3 linked regions of the Mus musculus genome follow. The protein of the gene in region 1 binds, or shares a complex with, the protein of each later gene. Links are inferred from orthologs where the notes say so. Each region holds a gene or a part of one and is shown on either strand. Other genes may lie near its edges.

Region 1 (5,380 bases):
AAAGGGAAAAGGTCCCCACGGAGAATTTCTGAGGAGAAGCACTTGAATCTTACCTTATATGTGTTGATGCCCCATTTCTTGACGATGTCAAACTTTTCTCCAGCGATGCCCCGGGCCACCTCGTCACCAGGGCCAGAGGGTGACGTGCTGTGAGATGGATGTCGGCCAGACCCTAAAGGACCAAGTTCTCTGACACCAGTTTCTCTTAGATAAAACCATACACTTCTGTGGCTCACTCCTCCCCCCCACCCCCCCAAACACACGAAATGACCTCTCTGAAGAAGGACTATCTAGACAGACAACTGCATTCTTCTGGTCACTAGGGGGAACAAGGACTCATGTCCTGACAACCAAATCAATTCAATGTATGTATCTGGCATTCTTGGAGTAGGGTAGGAGTGTTGTTGGTGTACGAGATAAGCGGGAATAGAAGCAAACATGACATGTGCGATTGGCAGGATCAAAGATGGTGAACACAGAAAAACAGAGAAGTTGGCTTATATTTCTAGGTAGAATTCTAGCCAGTAAAAGAGTCTAAAATGAAACTCTGAGAAGCCTCACAAAGCTCCAAACTGGCCTTAAGCTCCTGAGTGCTCATAACCTTAAGGTCTTAACTTGGCTCAGATGGTGGCGGCAAGGAGGAGAAGACGAGTGAGATTATCTTCGAGACTGACTGGCCAGTGGGAGGCAGATGGGCAACTCTGGGAGCTGGCCTGGGACTGGACTGTCTATGAACTTCACACCAGCAGTTCGCAAGCTCTCCAGTCCAGGAGTCAAGCTTTCCTGTATGTGTCTATGTGCCTGCAAACTGTCTCAACACCCCACCCCTCAAGCCTATCTCTATCATTCATACCTGTGGGGATGAGTCCGTCACCAGAGCCCCCATAGCCACCAGACACAATGCTAGTTTCATTGAGGTTGGGTCCTGACACCATCACCTGCTGGAGGTCCTATAGGTCAGAGAAGAGGGGGGCACCTCAGGAACACAGGGATGGATGAAACATTTTGGGGACGGAGACAGTGCATAGTAAAGTCTGTACAGAACCATAAAGAAGATTTGAAAAGTATGAAGGAGTTTAGTTAACTGAAGGCTACCGGGACAGGGGAAATTAAAGGTTTATAAGTCAGGAATGTATAACAAAACAATGAGAAGAATCAAACAGAAGCACCTGCTCCAGCCCATCGTCTTCAGGAAGCTGCCCAGCTTCGCCATTTCCGTGGATGGGAATCTCCATTGTGGCTGCCTTCCCTAGAATCCCGTCCGTCATGGCTAGGGAAGGGACTGGAGTCAAGGTCTCCACCCCAGCACGCTGTAAAGCCCAACACAGACAATTCTGGAAACTGGCCAGCACTCCAGAACAAGGAGGCCTTCCCTGTGTTCTCAGAGGTTTCAGGGGTTGTCTTTGGGCTTGGGTGTCCTGGGATCAGCCACCACGGCTTTCCTTGAGTTTGTGTGTTTCTTCTCTTCTGAGGACATTATCTCTACAGATGCATGCATACCAAAGCCTCGGGTGTCTTCTCATAACCCCCCTACCTCGCCTTCAGTAACCATTCATGCATTCAGTCATTCAACAACTATCTAGTGAGTGTCTATTATGAGTGAGATACTGAGGCAATGGGATTATAGCAGTGAGGACCAGAGGGGAGGTCTATGCTCTCTGGGAACTTAACCCTGCAGAGGCAATGTTTACCAGAACCCTTTCCTAGGCTCAGACTCTCACTTGCCACTCAGGCATGCTCTACAATCCTGGTCTTTCACATTCTTTGGTGTTCCTTCCCCTCTTCCTTCAGCCGGTCTGGGCTCTTCCTTTCTCCATCTCATGCACCTGACTCCCTTAGGCCCTCCCCAGCAGGCCTTGGTTGAAGCAGTTAGTGAATGTTCCTGGTGTCAGGTGAAAGGCTCTCTTTCCCAGGACACGGGCAATCCCTTCCAAAGTCAGCTGAAGCCTCCCAGATGTGAGGGGCTCCCCCCACCCCCATACACCTGGGCATCAGGTGTGTCCTCATCCTTGCCAAGGGCTCAGGGCATTTTGCCCTCAGTACAGGTTCGTGCGTTCAACTTCCCTTCGTCCAAGTATGTCCTTCTCACCTGGGCCGGGCCGCTCTTCCCCTCAGGGCGCGAGGCCCGGACCGCGCGGGGACCTCGGGTTCCAGTTCTCGTCGCGATCCTAGCAGCAGGTCAGAGATTTGGCGGAAGTGACATGCTCTCTGGGCAGAAGAAGCCGGCCACGTCGCAGAGAAAAAGGGCGGAAGTGACGTTTGCAGTTGTGGGCAGGACGAGCCTGGAGCTACGCCTTCAAGCTCTTGGGGAGTAGTGAGAGTTTACTTCCGGGGCGACTCTGAGAGCTCTAACCTCCCCCCTCCGCCCCCCCAACCCCGCGCCACCCTGCCACCCCGCCACGGGCGGAAGTGACTAGGGCTGTGCGCCCTTGGCGTGATGGAGCAGCAGCAGCAGCAACTGAGAAACGTGAGTGAGAGCGCAGTTGCTCTCTGGGTTAGACGTGCAGTTTGTTTCCAGGGGTACACGCAAGAACCCGAGGGGGAGACGGGCTGTGCATCCCGGGGAGCCTTAGCGGTGGTGAAGTCGTGGTTCCCTTTTCTCTCAGTTGCGAGACTTCCTGTTGGTCTACAATCGGATGACAGAACTGTGTTTCCAGCGCTGTGTGCCCAGCCTGCACCACCGAGCTCTGGACGCTGAGGAGGTGGAGACAGTGTGGGGGTCCCAGAGTTGACAACGTGACGTGACACCCTCCCCCAGCCCCCCATCTTCTCCCTCTTTCTTGACCTCACTCCTAGGCTGGGGACCGGGAAGGAAGGAGGCGGGCTTGACTGGACCCCTTTTAGTTTCTACTTCCCTCCGTCTTCCTTCCAGGAGGCCTGCCTGCACAGCTGTGCTGGGAAACTCATCCATTCTAACCACCGCCTCATGGCCGCTTACGTGCACCTCATGCCCGCCCTGGTCCAGCGCCGCATCGCGGACTACGAGGCTGCCTCGGCCGCGCCAGGTATTCCTGCAGAACAGACCAGAGACTCGCCATCAGGCAGCTAGCCGTCCCTGGCCCCTGGAGAGAAGGTGCTTGGATGGGCTCCTCTATGGACCTTGGGCTTATCTAAATGTGTACAGAGAGATTGAGCTTGAAAGCTGGGTGCTGTTGCTCCTTTTCTTGGAGCCAATAAACCCGTTTTTACAGTCTGGTTATTTGTCTATGGGTACCAGCCTTTATTCTGTCATCTAGTGCATGTGTACTGCCTTTAGCCCTGGAGGTTGATGTAGTGCCTTCTTATGTGTAGAAGGACAAATTCAGCATTCCCAGCACCCCAGCAAAAGCAGGGATTATGGGTAGAGCTTTAAGGTTAGTAATAGCAATGGGAAATTGGTTCCAAAAGGAGAGCTCTCAGTGGCTGTCCTTGGGACTAACTCAAGGACCTGAATATACATTGACTCATAACTAGTTTTTATTTTCAGCTGTCAAAAAGAATTGCTGTGAACCTAGGGGAAGAAGGTAAAACCAAACAACAAAAGCAGGAAGAAAACTCTACCCCCTTAGGCTTTAGCCACTGCTTCCTAGGAGGTCAGTGACAACAGAACAAAGACAAGCCTCTAAGAATTCAGGAATGTTGACCATTTCCCCAATTTACTCTCTTAGTACTTCCTGCCTTTGTGAAATTAGCAATAAAGACTTTAAACAAAGAAGTGCTTTCTTGTCTTCAGAGTCAGTCAGGAAGGCAGCATTGGTCAAACCTCAGGAAGAGAACTCGAGGGAGAGGGAGATGGTGTTAGGGAGGGATGGTTAAATGCCATCTGTGCCCCTCCTCTTCGGGTTTGACTGCTTGTCTAATCTAGTTTCAGCTCTCTACCCTGTGCCTTACACTAGTCTCACTGTAACTGCTCTGATGCCAGCTTCTCTATTCTTGTTTCATTACTCCCCACCCCCTCTTGTGGGATTCACATGTGTATTCAGGAGGAGTCCTTTCCTGGCAGCTGCCGGTTCTGTGACTTCATTCCTAGTGTGGAGATGGGGAAGGAAGGAGGATGTGGCATGTACCACCTTGTGGGGCTTCAAGGATGACAGCCTGCAGGGCAAGCGACAGCATGGGGTCTGCATTTATTACTGTTTTACAGGAGATGGAGCACAAGTACTTGTGCTTGCCAGGCAAGAACTTTTTTTTTTTTTTTTTTTTTAATGTCAGGCTATAAACCATTCTTAGTGCTCAATGGCTTCTGGACACTGAGCATAGAAAGAGCCACTTGCTCTTTGCCCCAATGTCACAGGCAGGGCTGAGCAGCTAGGCCAGGTCTGTGGTGCTGATCTAGGACAGCATCTTCAGGGCAGCAGGCAGGAACTTGTAACAACTAAGCTCCCCACTTCCTCTTCACTGCTTCCCGTAATTCCATCCCATCCCTTCCCTTCCAGTATTGCATCAGGTGACCAGCTTTCTTTTTTCTTTTTTCTTTTTTTTAAACAGAGGAATTAAATTCCTCGTCAAAACCAACTATTCACAGAGCAGATTTGCAGAGCAGATTTGCTGTCCTACCCCCCACCTATAGGTCAGAAATAGGCATCTATTTATTTATTTATTTATTTATTTATTTATTTAGAGATGTGGTCTCATGTACCCAAGGCTGACCTGGAAATTGTAACTAAAGATGACCTTGAACTCCTGGTCCTTCTGCCTCTACCTCCCAAGTGTTGGCCAGCCAAAAAGTTGAAAATCTTAGTTGATTCCATATTGAGAGGCAGATCTTGCTCCAAGGCTTGTTATACATGCCTGTAATCCTTAACAGGGCAAGAATTGTAAGTTTGGAAGCAGTCTGCACTGTTAGATCAAGACTCTACCAATAAAGTGCAGCTGGAACATTAAGCCTGATATTCTTTGCACTACAGCAGGCTGTTTCTCTAAATCGTGTCTGTTGAGTTATTTTGTATAAATTTATCATACTTACTCCTTTTAATTGTGAAACTAGGAGGTATTATTTTTCACTAGACAGGTAAAGAAGCAAGAAAGCAGACCTTAGGAGAGCCCTGTCTTACACAGTTCTTGGAAAGCAGATTTTGGTGTGTCACTTTCCTTTCTTTTCCTTTCCTTTCCCTTTTCTCTTTTCTTTTCTTTTCTTTTCTTTTCTTTTCTTTTCTTTTTTTCATTTTCCTTTTAGGTGGTTTTGCCGTGGACCCATTGGCCTTCAGCTTGTGATCCTCCTGTCTCAGCCTCCTAGATCCTGGAATTACAGACACAGGCTACAACCTGTTGCTAGATAATTCTTTAGGCATATAAAACTTGCTGACCAGGAGCTTCCTTAAAGAATGACCTGACTACAAGATTAATCTTATTCCTTGACAAGTACACATGTGAGTAGAGCAGCTTGTGAACTTGTTAGTTC
Region 2 (5,957 bases), on another chromosome or scaffold:
CAGACAAGTGCTGCATCTAGACTTATCCTGTCTTTCTGGAAATATCTTCTAAAATGTCTCAAGCACTTAGCTCTTTCTCTGACAAGACTGTCTATAGGTAGAACAGGCTTGGTGGTTCTCAGAATCTTGTCCAGAGGCCTCCTGCATTCCACCTTTATGTGTCCACTCCCAAGTTGCCCCAGGGCCCTGGATTCACATGCTTGCTTTTTGAACTTTACGTGTATGACCTGAGCCTCTAGAGATACTTGATCTGCTCCTGATAACTGTCCAGCTTTTCCTGTCCACCCATGGCAACTCTGTTGGTGGACTGGGGAGAAAGCCGCCCTGGCCTTTCTCACTTCTTGGTTGTGGGGCATCCTCTAGAACCAAGCGTTCTTCGTCATAGCCTCCAATGTCACGTCTGTGCCTGCCTGCTCTTGTTGGCTTCTATCCTCACTTTCCAGAGCCAGAGGAAATCCCAAAAAGATCTCAGTAAGATCCCTTCTCACCACTCTGGGACCTGTGTACTCACCCCTGCTCATGGCCTTCCTGCTCCTCCGTCTACTGCACTGATCTATGCTGCCATACAGTTCAATTGTTTCCACCATGGGACCTAGAGGCTTTCTGGGTCCTCTTCTAAGCCTCTCACCACCAATGTTAGCATAACTCATTTGCCTACCCTAGTCAGGGACCTTCATGACTTCCCTAACACCCTCTGAGTTAGCCAGACCTACCCACCTTCTGCTTTCCATCTTGGTGCCTCCCTCAACTAAACACGAGTTTTGCTCTTCATGCATGACTGCCCATTTCAGGGCCTGGTACAGTCCCATGTTTAAGTAAATACTACATTGATTCAAACATAAACCCCCATTTACCATATAGGTCGGGACGGTTTCTAAGATGGTGCCGCACAAAGTTGTGGCCAGGATGGGGCAGCAGGGAGCCTTTGATCCTGTCCAAGACCTGGAAAGCAAAGCCCAGGGTCTAGAATGAGAATCCTGGTGTTCTGAGAGGTGTCAGCACATCCTACTGAACAAGCTCGAACATGTCACCACTGTGAAGGTGGATTTCAGGCCTGTCACCTTGCTTTCAGCTTCTTGCAGCCTCTCCTCTCAAAGTAAGGACAGTCCCTAAGTTCTGGATGGTCTTGCAACTACATCTCCAGGATGTACCCTCTCACTGGACCTGGTCTATCATTAGAGGTTGGCTTGACTGGGAAACATTCTGGCTTTAAGTCACACACCTATCCACGCCTACTTTGTAACCTAGCTTTTGCCTTCCAGCCCCACCATACCCATTCAGTCCTCAAGTATAGTGGCTGGACTCCAAGCAACTCCAAGTGCCTTACCTGGGAGGTATCCACATCAAAAAAGCTCTGATAGTAGTCAAATGTCCAGAATCTGGGCTGTGGTTTTTCTTCCTGTAGAAGCTATAAGACAAAAGACTCAGAACTTGCCTGCTCAGCCAGGGTAAGAACAGAGGCAGATCATCGGGGCCTAGGAGACTCACTGATGTCTTGTCATCCTCTTCCTCCCCTACTTCAGCTCCATAGCCAATGCCTGAACCCACAACCACAGCCACGTGCTCTCGGGAGGTCAGCTCATCACTTTGGCTAGTAGTAGCTGCATCTGGGGTCTCTGCCAGAAGATTTGTGGCTTCCTCGAACTCTACGGAGAGGGAATATGGGCATAGGTGTTTGGAATCTGAAAATTCCTTTCATCAACTGGGGCTATGGCTGCCTTACCGCCGTCCCCTAAGGGCTGAGTTTCTTCAGTTTTGATGCATGGATAGGTCTGTCTACTAAGATGGGATTCAATTTAGGTCCTGTGCAGAATTGGACGCTGTGATGTGCCTTTTGAGTTCATGGAAGAAGCAGGAATTGAGTGCAAGATAAACCTGAGGTCTGGGTCCCAGCTGCCTGGGGTTCTAGCTTAGGACTGAGGTAGGAGCTCTGACCACTTCCGGGCTCCACTCACCGTGGAAGGCCAGTTCGTCAGCTGCTGCCATGACTCTTTAGAGGCGTCACCGCATCGCACTCTGTGGACAGAACCGCATCAATCCCACAGCCCTCCCCAAGACTGATGCTTCCGTCTGGACTCCTGCATGGAGCCTAATACACGGAATGGAACTTCAGCTCCAAGCTGGGTCCCTTCAGATGCACCCCACCTTCCTCACCTGAGCCTACCTAAGCTGGCGTGGCTATTGCTCTATGCGCGTGCGCGCCGCTCGACTTCCCTTCAGAGCCCACCCTTCTCCACACAACGGCAACATCCGTTTAGGTCCGTTTCCTATTGTCTTCCTGTGGGAAACTACTTCCTGTATCTTGCGCTTGCGCAGGATCTACTCTCCGGCCTTTTTCATTCCGACACTATGCGTTTCTACTCGGCTGAGGAACCGCAGGGAGACGATGGTGACAGCGGCTCTTAAGAGATTCTGGTCCGGTGGGCACGGTGAAGCGGGAGGAGAGGCCGGTGGTGCCACGACGGTGGCGGTTAAGCCAGGGCTGTGGACGCGACTGAGTGAGTAGTGGCAGAAGGCTGCAGGGTGGGTGGCTCGAGTGGTCGAGTCCTTGTCACCGCAGCTCTTTTTTCCCCTCAGGCACCTGGGCCGGCGCGCTGCTCCGGGACTACGCTGAGGCGTGCGGGGACGCGGCGGCTGCGGCGCGAGCTCGACCGGGCCGCGCGGCCCTGTACGTGGGGCTTCTGGGCGGCGCGGCTGCGTGCTGCGCGCTGGCGCCCAGTGAGGCGGCCTTCGAGGAGGCCTTGCTGGACGCATCGGGGTCACTGTTGCTCTTGGCACCGGCCACGCGCAACCGCCACTCGGAGGCGTTCCTGCAGCGCCTGCTGTGGCTGAGGGGCCGTGGGCGGCTGCGTCACGTGAACCTGGGCTTTTGCTCGCTGGTTTACGAAGCGCCCTTCGACGCCCAGGCCAGCCTCTACCAGGCCCGCTGCCGCTACCTGCAGCCACGCTGGGTGGACTTCCCCGGCCGGATCCTCGACGTGGGTTTCGTTGGCCGCTGGTGGATTCTGCAGAATCGCATGCATGATTGCGACATCAACGACGACGAGTTTCTCCATCTGCCCGCTCATCTCCGCGTCGTCGCGCCTCACCAGCTGCACTCAGAGGCCAATGAGAGGCTGTTCGAGGAGAAGTACAAGCCGATCATACTCACCGACGATCAGGTGGATCAGGCGCTGTGGGAGGAGCAGGTGTTACAGAAGGAGAGAAAGGATCGGCTAGCTTTGAGCGAGGCTGATTCACTGGTTCAGTCCGATGTTTCCAGATGAAACCCAGGATTGCCCCCGGGTCACCAGGCGCAGGCAAACTGTTGGCTGTGGATGGTGCAATTGGTGAGATGGGTAGAGATAAATGGCCCTTATTGTGATTTTATGGGAAGTCCTCACTCTGTCCGGTTAGCCGAAGAAACTTGGGGGCCTTACTGGTCTTAGAGATACAGAAGAGCTGAAGGACTGCTCTTAAACATGCTGAAGCACTTGACCTTACTGTGTTAATTGCCCCCAGATCTACTAGTAAGGAGCCTGTGCTGTGTAGCCTGTTGTAGCTGGGGATGTTCTTCACGGGTAGAGTGTTTGCCTAGCATGCCTGGGTTCCTGCACTGCCAAAACAGAACAGAAATGGGCTTTTAGTCTTGGGGGTTTTGTTTATTTGGTTCGTTTTTGAGAATGTGACTCCCATATGCCCAGTCTGGCCCTGACTCCTGCATTAGCTCTAGTGCACCACAGAGTACCCCGCCCATGCATTAGTCCTGTTCATGAACGGGGCTACAAAGATGTCCTGACTGCCAGTGACTTCCAAGATCCTAAGACCAATCCCCCAGCCCCCCTTTTGGTAGTGTGTATCAGTGAAGTTTTTTGAGGATAATGGTCTGGCCGTGTTGCCAAGGCTACTTGTTTAAAGAGTCCCGACTGTTCCTCCCTTCGGAGAACCTCGACTCAGTTCTCAGCAGCTTGATCTGTAACTCCAGGCCAGCGAATCAATCCAGCCTTCTCTTCTGGATTCCTTGTACACCAGGCAGGCACGTGGTGGTGCACAGACAAAACACCCACGCACATATGTTTAAAGATTCTCCTAAGTCATCCCCCAAGATCGGGACTAAAATCATGTGCCAGCTTGCCTGACCTCAGATCTCTCCTTTTCAGGTGGAGCTGAAATGTATGTGTTTAGGGTTTTTGTTTGTTGTGGATTTTGGTTTGTTTGTTACACTGGCTTCCCCAGAACTGGCTATGAAGAACAATCTGTCCTTAAACTCACAGAGATTTGTCTGCGTCTCAAATTGGATTGTTTTGGTTTGATTTGTTTCTGAGAGTGGTCTCACAGCCCAGACCAGCCTCAAACTCACTGTGTAGCAATGGATGAGTGAGTGATGGCTCCTCTTGCCTGCATTTCCCAAATGAAGTGAAATATTTCTGCCCTGTGGATTGTTATTGTTGGGTACTTGTGCTAGACATTAAATCCAGGGCCTTGTACATATGAGGCAAGCCCTGTACACCAAGTCCTTTTAGGCTCTTTGTTTTGTTTGATAATATCTTTATGTAGTCCCCAAGGACCTTTGACCTAGCTTAACTAGTAACGTTGTATGTTACTATCAGTACAGGAGAGAGGTATAGAGGCCGACAAATTCTACTGTATATATGTATGGCAGCAATTGCAAGCATGGTGGAAGGCTGGAACATGTTCTCATCCCAGAGTGTACATGCAGTCATATGTCCTGTACTGCAGGGACCCCGGAAATGGTTGGATGGAAAGGAACAGGGTGGGGAACATAGGTTGGACCTGGCAAAATTCCAGTAATTACCTTTCAAGCTAAAATATTAGGGAAGCAAAACTTCCCATATCAGGTAGCTTGTAGCTAGTCGGTAAAAGCAGGGGGTGAAGCAGTCACTTTGTGATGGATTTGTTTATGGTGGGGGCTTCAGACAGACAAAGTATGTGCTGCACTGAGCTACCCCCACTCCTAGTGGTGTGATTGTGTGTTTTGCCTCCTTTATTCATTATCAGATGTATTGAAAGTATGGTAGTTGTTTTTGATTGTTTTTTTCAGTAATACTCCGAAGTGGGAGGATTAAAGGCATGTGCCACCGCCTCCTGGGTAAGGTAGTTCTTGAATTCAAGTCTTCTGGCCAGGTGATGATGTTAATTCACATCTTCCCGCACTGGTGAGGTGGCTCAGCAGGGGAAGACATGTTCAGTCAAGGCAACCACCTGAGTCCATCCTATGGAACCCACACAATAGAAAGAGCTAACTCCTCCGATTTGCACTGTGACCTACATGTATACTAAATAAATTAAAATGTAATATGGGTTGCAAAAAAAATCCACATCTGAATTACAAATGTTTTAATTAGTGTGTATTAAAGGATTTTCTTATGTGTGTATGAAATAGTCTTATTCACCCTCCATTACTGTTTCTTGCAATCCACTCCTAGTTCCATGTTTCCTCTCTTCCCAATTAGCACCAACGTGTGTGTGTGTGTGTGAGAGAGAGAGAGAGAGAGAGAGAGAGAGAGAGAGAGAGAGAATATGTCTCAATATGTAATCCTGTAATCTTGGGCTGGCCTAGATCAGACTGGCCCTGAACTAACCTAGAACTATTGTGTGTGGATTTAAACAACCTCATGGAAACCTTTCCAGGGACTGACTATACCACTAAGGAATTTTCTCTCCTTCCTTCTTTCCTTCCCTCTCTCCCTCCGTCCCTCCCTTCCTTCTTTACTTTAGCAACTATTACTGACACACAAATCCCTGAAATGGGGAGGAGCCTTCCAGTCTTGTGGAGATCCTGTACAGGTGATCACAAAGTACAACAGCTAGGGGCTGTAAGAAGGCCAAGTTCAAAGACACTTTATTGCATAAAATCCGAGGGCCTGAATCTGATCTTCAAGACTCACTTGATGGAAGGATAAAATTAATTCCAGCAGATTATTTTCTGACCTCCATACACATGGGTGTGAGCATGT
Region 3 (5,953 bases), on another chromosome or scaffold:
AGCGAGGAGCACCTGCATCCCCGGCAGAGAACAGTAACTAGGAAGAAGGGAGTATGCTTGATGCATTTGATAGAGAGGGTATCAGCATGGCCCGGCAAAGCACTGCAGCAGGAGAGTAGTTGGAAGTAAAAGTAAGAAAATAGGGTTGGTGAATCATGTGGAATTTGTCCTGGCTCACATTGATTATCTAATTACAGGATCTAGAACCACTTAGAAGATAAACCTCTAGGCAAGTCCATGAGATAATTCTATATTGGGTTAACAGAGGTAGGAAGTCCCACCCTATATGTATCTAGCAATGTGCCATGGACTGGGCTAGCTGACTGAATAAAGAGGCCAAAGTGAGCTGAGTACTAGCATTCTTCTGTGTGTCTTGGCTATGGACATGCTATGACCAGTTGCCTCCCATTCCTGCCACAATGCCTTCCTTGACGCAGTGGAATAGAGTGAACCAAAAGCCAAGGTAAGCCATTTGTCCTATAGTTTGCTCTTCTCAGGGGATGGATCACATCATGGAGAGAAGCAGTGCAGGGTCTTATAAGCTATTGAGAAGACTTTGGCTTTCTCCATGATGAGAAACTACTGCAGCATCTAGGGGGTGAGTGACATGATCCAGTTGTAGGGTTTTTTTTTGTTTGTTTGTTTGTTTGTTTGTTTTTTACATCACTCTGGTTGCTGCGAGAATCAGTTGTCCTTTGACCTCCTTTGATCCTACCATGGGCTCCTCCTCCTCCTTCTTCAATATATTTATTTTCTGTATCTATGAGTACACTGTAGCTCTGACACACCAGAAGAGGCACTGGATTCCATTACAGATGGTTGTGAGTCACCTTGTGGTTGCTGGGAATTGAACTCAAGACCTCTGGAACAGCAGTCAGTACTCTTAGCCACTGAGCCATCTCTCCAGCCCAAGGACACATGTTCTTATAAATAAATTTAAATTTAAAAATAGTATATCAAATGACCTGTGTAGTTCAGTTGTGGAGGGTTTGCATGAGACCCTGGATTCAACCTTCAGCACTGTGGAAGAGAGATGAAAAAAACATCACTATTAGCTGAGAATGTGAAAATAGCACTTTGGGAAAAAGACTTCATCTGCTAAAGATAATAGATCAAGAAAATGTGACTAAATAGTAAGAATTATTAAATCTTGGGGATAGATTCAATGACGTTCATTAGACTGTGTTCTGTGTTGTGAATTTGCCCTAATAAAATTTTAAAGGGATAAACCCAATGCTTTTTATTATTACATTTATTTATTTACTTACTTTATTTATTGTGCATGTGTAGGGCTATAATAAAGAAGTGCAGTAAAACATGTTGCAGCACTGGGGCAGTTGATAGAGTGCTTGCCTAAGCATGTGGTCCTGTTTTCATCCCAACATTGCAAAAGTCAGGCATAATGGCGCTTATCTGTAGCCGAAGCACTAGTGAGGTGGAGGCAGGTTCGTAAGTTCTAGGTCATCTTCGGCTACACCGCAAATTAGAGAGCAGCCTAGGTTCCATGGGACCCTGCCTCAAAAGCAAATAAAGACAATCTCTATACATGTTTCTTTTTTTCTGCGAGCAGCGATCGTGTATCTTCTCTGCAACTCCACTAGTTAATGTTGCACACTGCTCCCCGGGATTCTGATTTCAGGGGTATGAGGTAACGTCTGGGCGCTGAGGTGTTTTTTTTTTTTTTTTTTTTTTTTTTTTAAAGTGCTCCAGGTGTTTTAACATGCAAAATTGACAGGCTCCTTTGGGAAACGTTCTCCTTTCTTCACATAAGATCCGTCTGCGCTCTGGCGTGGGCTCTCCATGGTGGGTTCAGGGAGCCAAGCTTCTTCCACACTGCAAACGCTCAGGCGTCTCCCGGACAACCGGAGGGATGGAATGCTAACAAGGCTGCCGGCGCTCTGCCACTCACTCAGCATTCTATGGTACTTTGGAGTCCACTCTAGCAAATTAAGGTCGGTTTCTCTATGGTAGCCGGTTTCCCAGCGCAGCCTGGTCGGCGTTTTCTTCCGGATCAAAGAAGAGGCTAGACTTCCTTCCGGAAGTGACCCACGTGCTTCTTATTTCGCCTGCCTTGGTACCCGGTAACTTTTTACTATTGACCCGAAGTTGGGGACGTTGCGGGAGCTGTGACCTGCCCCAGGCCGTGGTGAGTGGGCCGTGGTGTCTGATACCCAGGGTAACCCTGATTCCTGATTATGCCATTGCCGTGACAGAGGCTCAGCCTTTAGACCCACCCCGGGAACCTAGGCTGTGGTTAGGGTCACATTCTCGGGGCTGCATGGGTTCAGACCCACGGTTTTGTGTGTTCCGTCCCAACTGTCAATCCTCTGGCTCTAGGAGTGATCTCGAGGTACTAAGAGGGCTCGGTTTCCATCCCCGAGCCCCATGACATCGCGAGTGACCTTGAGCTGGACACTGTCCTCTTTAAGGGCCTCATCTCCACTTCTGTTAAGAGGGCTGATTACGTTTACTGAGCGGGGTATTGGTCCCCGCTGGTCTGAAACACTGTAATTCCTCGCGCCCTCCAGCCCCCCCGGGGGGGTGGTACTAGGGTGAACCGGGAGGGATCGATGCTGACTGATCATGTCCGCTCCTAGGACTAAAGACCAGGAGGCTATTCTCTCCACGGTGCTAAGTTGACATGGATCCGCTCAGAGCCCAGCAGCTGGCTGCGGAGCTGGAGGTGGAGATGATGGCTGACATGTACAACAGGTAAAGAGAAGCACTCGGCTTCACCTTGTCTAGGAAAACTCGCCCTAGTCACCCCTAGCCCGACAGAGTGAAGCACTTGTAACGAATGCTTTCGATAAGGTAGTGGAGCCAAGTCCCGCCCTCCTAATCCCGCCCCACCCTCACCGCGTGCTTCGCTGAAGTAAATACAGGTCACTGGAAGGACTTGGTTGGCTATTTGGAGGGAATAAAAGGGGTGTATGATGGAGAATCTCCTGCCCAGGCTCTGCTGAGTATCAAGAACATATAAGCACTTTCTCTTCTCTTCTCTTCTCTTCTCTTCTCTTCTCTTCTCTTCTCTTCTCTTCTCTTCTCTTCTCTTCTCTTCTCTTCTCTCCTCGTTTCCATCTTTCTTTCTCCTTAGATAGCCCATTTACCCTTGTTTATGTAGTTTATGTATTTTGTGTTTGTTTATGAATGCCAACATGCATGCCATAGCGCCACACATGTGGAGGTCAGAGGGCAGCTTAATAGGATCTCATCTTGGATTGAACTCAAATCTTCTGGTTTGGCAGCAAGTGCCTTTGCCGCCTAAGCCTTCTGAACAGCCATTTAGTAATGAATAGTATTTAGTTGCTAATATTTATTAATGTTTTTCTTCCTTTTTGGGGGGGATGGAGTGGATGTTGTTTTGTTCTTGTTTTTCACGATGGGGCTTCTCTGTGTTGCCTTGGTTGTCAGCTTAATCTGTATAGACCAGGCTGGCCTCACTCTCAGAGATCCACCTGTCTCATTCTCTTGGGTGCTGGGATTAAAGGTGTGCACACTCGGCCTAAATTATACTTTAACTCTGTGTTAGGCATTTGCAAAGCATTTTATATATATTATCACTTTAAATTTATTTATTTGTTTGTTTACTTGTTTTCTGTGTATGGATGTTTTGCTTGCATGCCCGCAGAGGCCAGTAGAGGGCATCATATCTCCAGGAACTGGAGTCAAAGATAGTTGTGGGCTACCGTGTGGGTGCTGGGAACCTAACCTAGGTCCTCTGCAAGAGCAGTCAGTTCTCTTAACCACTTTCCAGGCCCCCATTATCAGTTTTGTAAATAGTTAAAAATAATTCAAAGGGAGAAGGGGATATAATAACGTAGGATTTTTGTCTAGAATGCAGGATGCCCTTGGTTTGATCTTGACATGGTGCCTATAATTTCAGCAGTTAGAGGCCAGAGACTAAATAGTTCAGGATCATTCTTGGCTATATAGTGGGTTCAAAACCAGCCTGGGATAGATGAGACCAGTCTCAAAAGAAAGAAAGGGAAGAAAGAAAGAAAATCAGTGGGTTAATTTTATTAGTACTATTTTAACACAGGGGAATTGAGGTGTCAAGGGGTTTAATAATCTCAGGGGCTGTAGCTGGTCAGTAGCAATGTCAGGACCAGAACTTCAGCCTGACTTCAAACTACTGCTTGTAGCCGTTTGGAAACATCTTGCTGCACCATCAGCAGCTGAGTGTCTTTAGGCTGAATGTCATAACTGGTTACTCATCAGTAAAACTGACCTAAGAAGCACTGCTCCCTCCATAAAGACATTGCAATATTAAACTGAAAGCCTCTAGCATTAGCACATCATACAGGAACCAGCAGGTATCTGCTGGTTTTCGACAGCAGCTCTCGGTAGGTTTGTCTTGGAGACTACAAATTGGAATGGTTTTTAAAATACAGACTGCGCAGTCAGACTACCTAGCTTTGTGTGACCCTCAGCTCTTACTGAGCTGTGTCTTAATTTCCTCGTCTGTAAAGTGGGGATAGTGATTGTGCCTGCCCCAGTGGGTTACTGTGAGGGTTGCATGACAGAACCTGTATTAGCCCTTAGCGTGACGCCTGGCACACAGCCGGTGTTCAGCAAGTGCTTCCTCTTTAACTAGTCTTGTACATGACTCAAAGAAGAGTCTTAGTTGGAAAAGCGTTCCAAGGTGGTTGAAGTGAAAACTGGGGGTTCCCGCTGTTTTCTTGACGGAGGGAACGAGGCAAGAATCAATGCAGCAGGGTTGGGCTTGTTGAAGGTGCCTGGGATGCTCCAGGAAGTCACTGATACAACCTTGTTCTTCTCTAATCCCAGAATGACCAGTGCCTGCCACCGGAAGTGCGTGCCTCCCCACTACAAGGAGGCAGAGCTGTCCAAAGGCGAGTCTGTGTGTCTGGACCGATGTGTATCCAAGTACTTGGACATCCATGAGAGGATGGGCAAAAAGTTGACAGAGCTGTCAATGCAGGATGAGGAGCTGATGAAGAGGGTACAGCAGAGCTCGGGGCCTGCATGACGCCCCAGGCTGTCTACACCTGAGGTGTACCTTGCCACTTGCCTGATTAAAGTGTCCCTAATGGATGTCACATGTGAAACCTGTCATACTTAGGCCCTTGAGCATCTCCAGGACCCCTGCGTGTAGTAGAGCTCTCCTGGCTGAAGAAGGGGACTTGTCACGCTGGTTTGTGACTGTGTATGTGTGTATATGTATATATCTTATTAAAACAAATTTGTGCAACGCAGTGTCTTTACTTGAGAGTAAAGAGTCATCCAAAAGTAGAGGGAATTTAATGCAGTGGGTCTTTCTATTTGTGGGGTTGGGGTTTTTTGTTTTGTTCTTAAGTACAGGATCTCACTCTGTAGACCAGTTTGTCCTCAAACTCACGGAGATCCACCTGCTTCTGCCTCTCAAGTGCTGGGATTCAGATGTGTGCCACCATGCTCAGCAAGTTGCTTGTATCTTGAGGTGAGGTTTTATTATGCAGCCCGGTCTGCTTCTGGCTTCAATCTCAGTCTTCCTGTGTCAGCCTCTAAATGCTGTGATTACAGGTGTGTACTCCCACCCCACCCCACCCTTTTTTTTTTTTCCGTTTTTTCAAGAGACGGTTTCTTTGTGTAGCCGAACTCAGAAATTCGCCTGTCTCTGCCTCGAAAGTGCTGGGATTAAAGGCGTGCGCCACCACGTCCGGCTCCCCCCCACCCCTTTTTTTAATTTTAAGATTTTATGTGTATAAGTACACTGTAGCTGTCTTCAGACACACCAGAAGAGGGTATCAGATCCTATTACAGATGATTGTGAACCACCTTGTGGTTGCTGGGAATTGAACTCAGGACCTCTGGAGCAGGAGTCAGTGCTCTTAACCACTAAGCCATCTTTCCAGCCCAATGGTTGTGTACCTTAACACAGTGCTTTAAGTCTATAGACCAGTGGGACTGGTAGGTTTGTGCTTAGAGTTTGATGCTTGCTGTGTGACTCTGA

Evidence for each region. The genes of interacting proteins can lie anywhere in the genome.
Region 2: Timm10b (region 1) and Timm29 share a complex: the UniProt entries of both Homo sapiens proteins name them as parts of the TIM22 complex. The link is inferred for Mus musculus from reciprocal best matches to the Homo sapiens genes TIMM10B and TIMM29.
Region 3: the proteins of Timm10b (region 1) and Timm10 are in contact, whole or in part, in a cryo-EM structure (PDB 7CGP), measured with the Homo sapiens proteins. The link is inferred for Mus musculus from reciprocal best matches to the Homo sapiens genes TIMM10B and TIMM10. Residues at the interface, in NP_036324.1 of Homo sapiens: Gln7, Leu11, Leu14, Arg15, Phe17, Leu18, Leu19, Tyr21, Asn22, Arg23, Met24, Thr25, Glu26, Cys28, Phe29, Val33, Pro34, Ser35, Leu36, His37, His38, Arg39, Leu41, Glu46, Leu49, His50, Ala53, Gly54, Ile57, His61; in NP_036588.1 of Homo sapiens: Ala6, Leu9, Leu13, Glu16, Met17, Asp20, Met21, Arg24, Ala28, Lys32, Cys50, Asp52, Arg53, Cys54, Ser56, Lys57, Tyr58, Asp60, Ile61, His62, Glu63, Arg64, Met65, Gly66, Lys68, Leu69, Leu72, Asp76.

Annotation. Positions count from the first base shown.
Region 1 is NC_000073.6:105,638,156-105,643,535, forward strand, and holds Timm10b (mitochondrial import inner membrane translocase subunit Tim10 B), read left to right. Parts: upstream 1-2,289; 5' UTR 2,290-2,437; coding exon 2,438-2,467; exon of another isoform or gene 2,468-2,520; intron 2,521-2,606; coding exon 2,607-2,702; coding exon of another isoform or gene 2,703-2,713; intron 2,714-2,872; coding exon 2,873-3,049; coding exon of another isoform or gene 3,050-3,073; 3' UTR 3,074-3,466; coding exon of another isoform or gene 3,467-3,507; 3' UTR 3,508-3,691; downstream 3,692-5,380. Other genes in the region: Arfip2 (arfaptin-2), read right to left, coding at 54-172, 854-950, 1,170-1,268. UniProt on the Homo sapiens protein: Component of the TIM22 complex, a complex that mediates the import and insertion of multi-pass transmembrane proteins into the mitochondrial inner membrane.
Region 2 is NC_000075.6:21,590,573-21,596,529, forward strand, and holds Timm29 (mitochondrial import inner membrane translocase subunit Tim29), read left to right. Parts: upstream 1-2,149; 5' UTR 2,150-2,386; coding exon 2,387-2,498; intron 2,499-2,577; coding exon 2,578-3,266; 3' UTR 3,267-5,398; downstream 5,399-5,957. Other genes in the region: protein YIPF2, read right to left, coding at 855-942, 1,328-1,408, 1,489-1,646, 1,956-1,986. UniProt on the Homo sapiens protein: Component of the TIM22 complex, a complex that mediates the import and insertion of multi-pass transmembrane proteins into the mitochondrial inner membrane.
Region 3 is NC_000068.7:84,825,002-84,830,954, forward strand, and holds Timm10 (mitochondrial import inner membrane translocase subunit Tim10), read left to right. Parts: upstream 1-2,019; 5' UTR 2,020-2,146; intron 2,147-2,597; 5' UTR 2,598-2,641; coding exon 2,642-2,712; intron 2,713-4,788; coding exon 4,789-4,990; 3' UTR 4,991-5,212; downstream 5,213-5,953.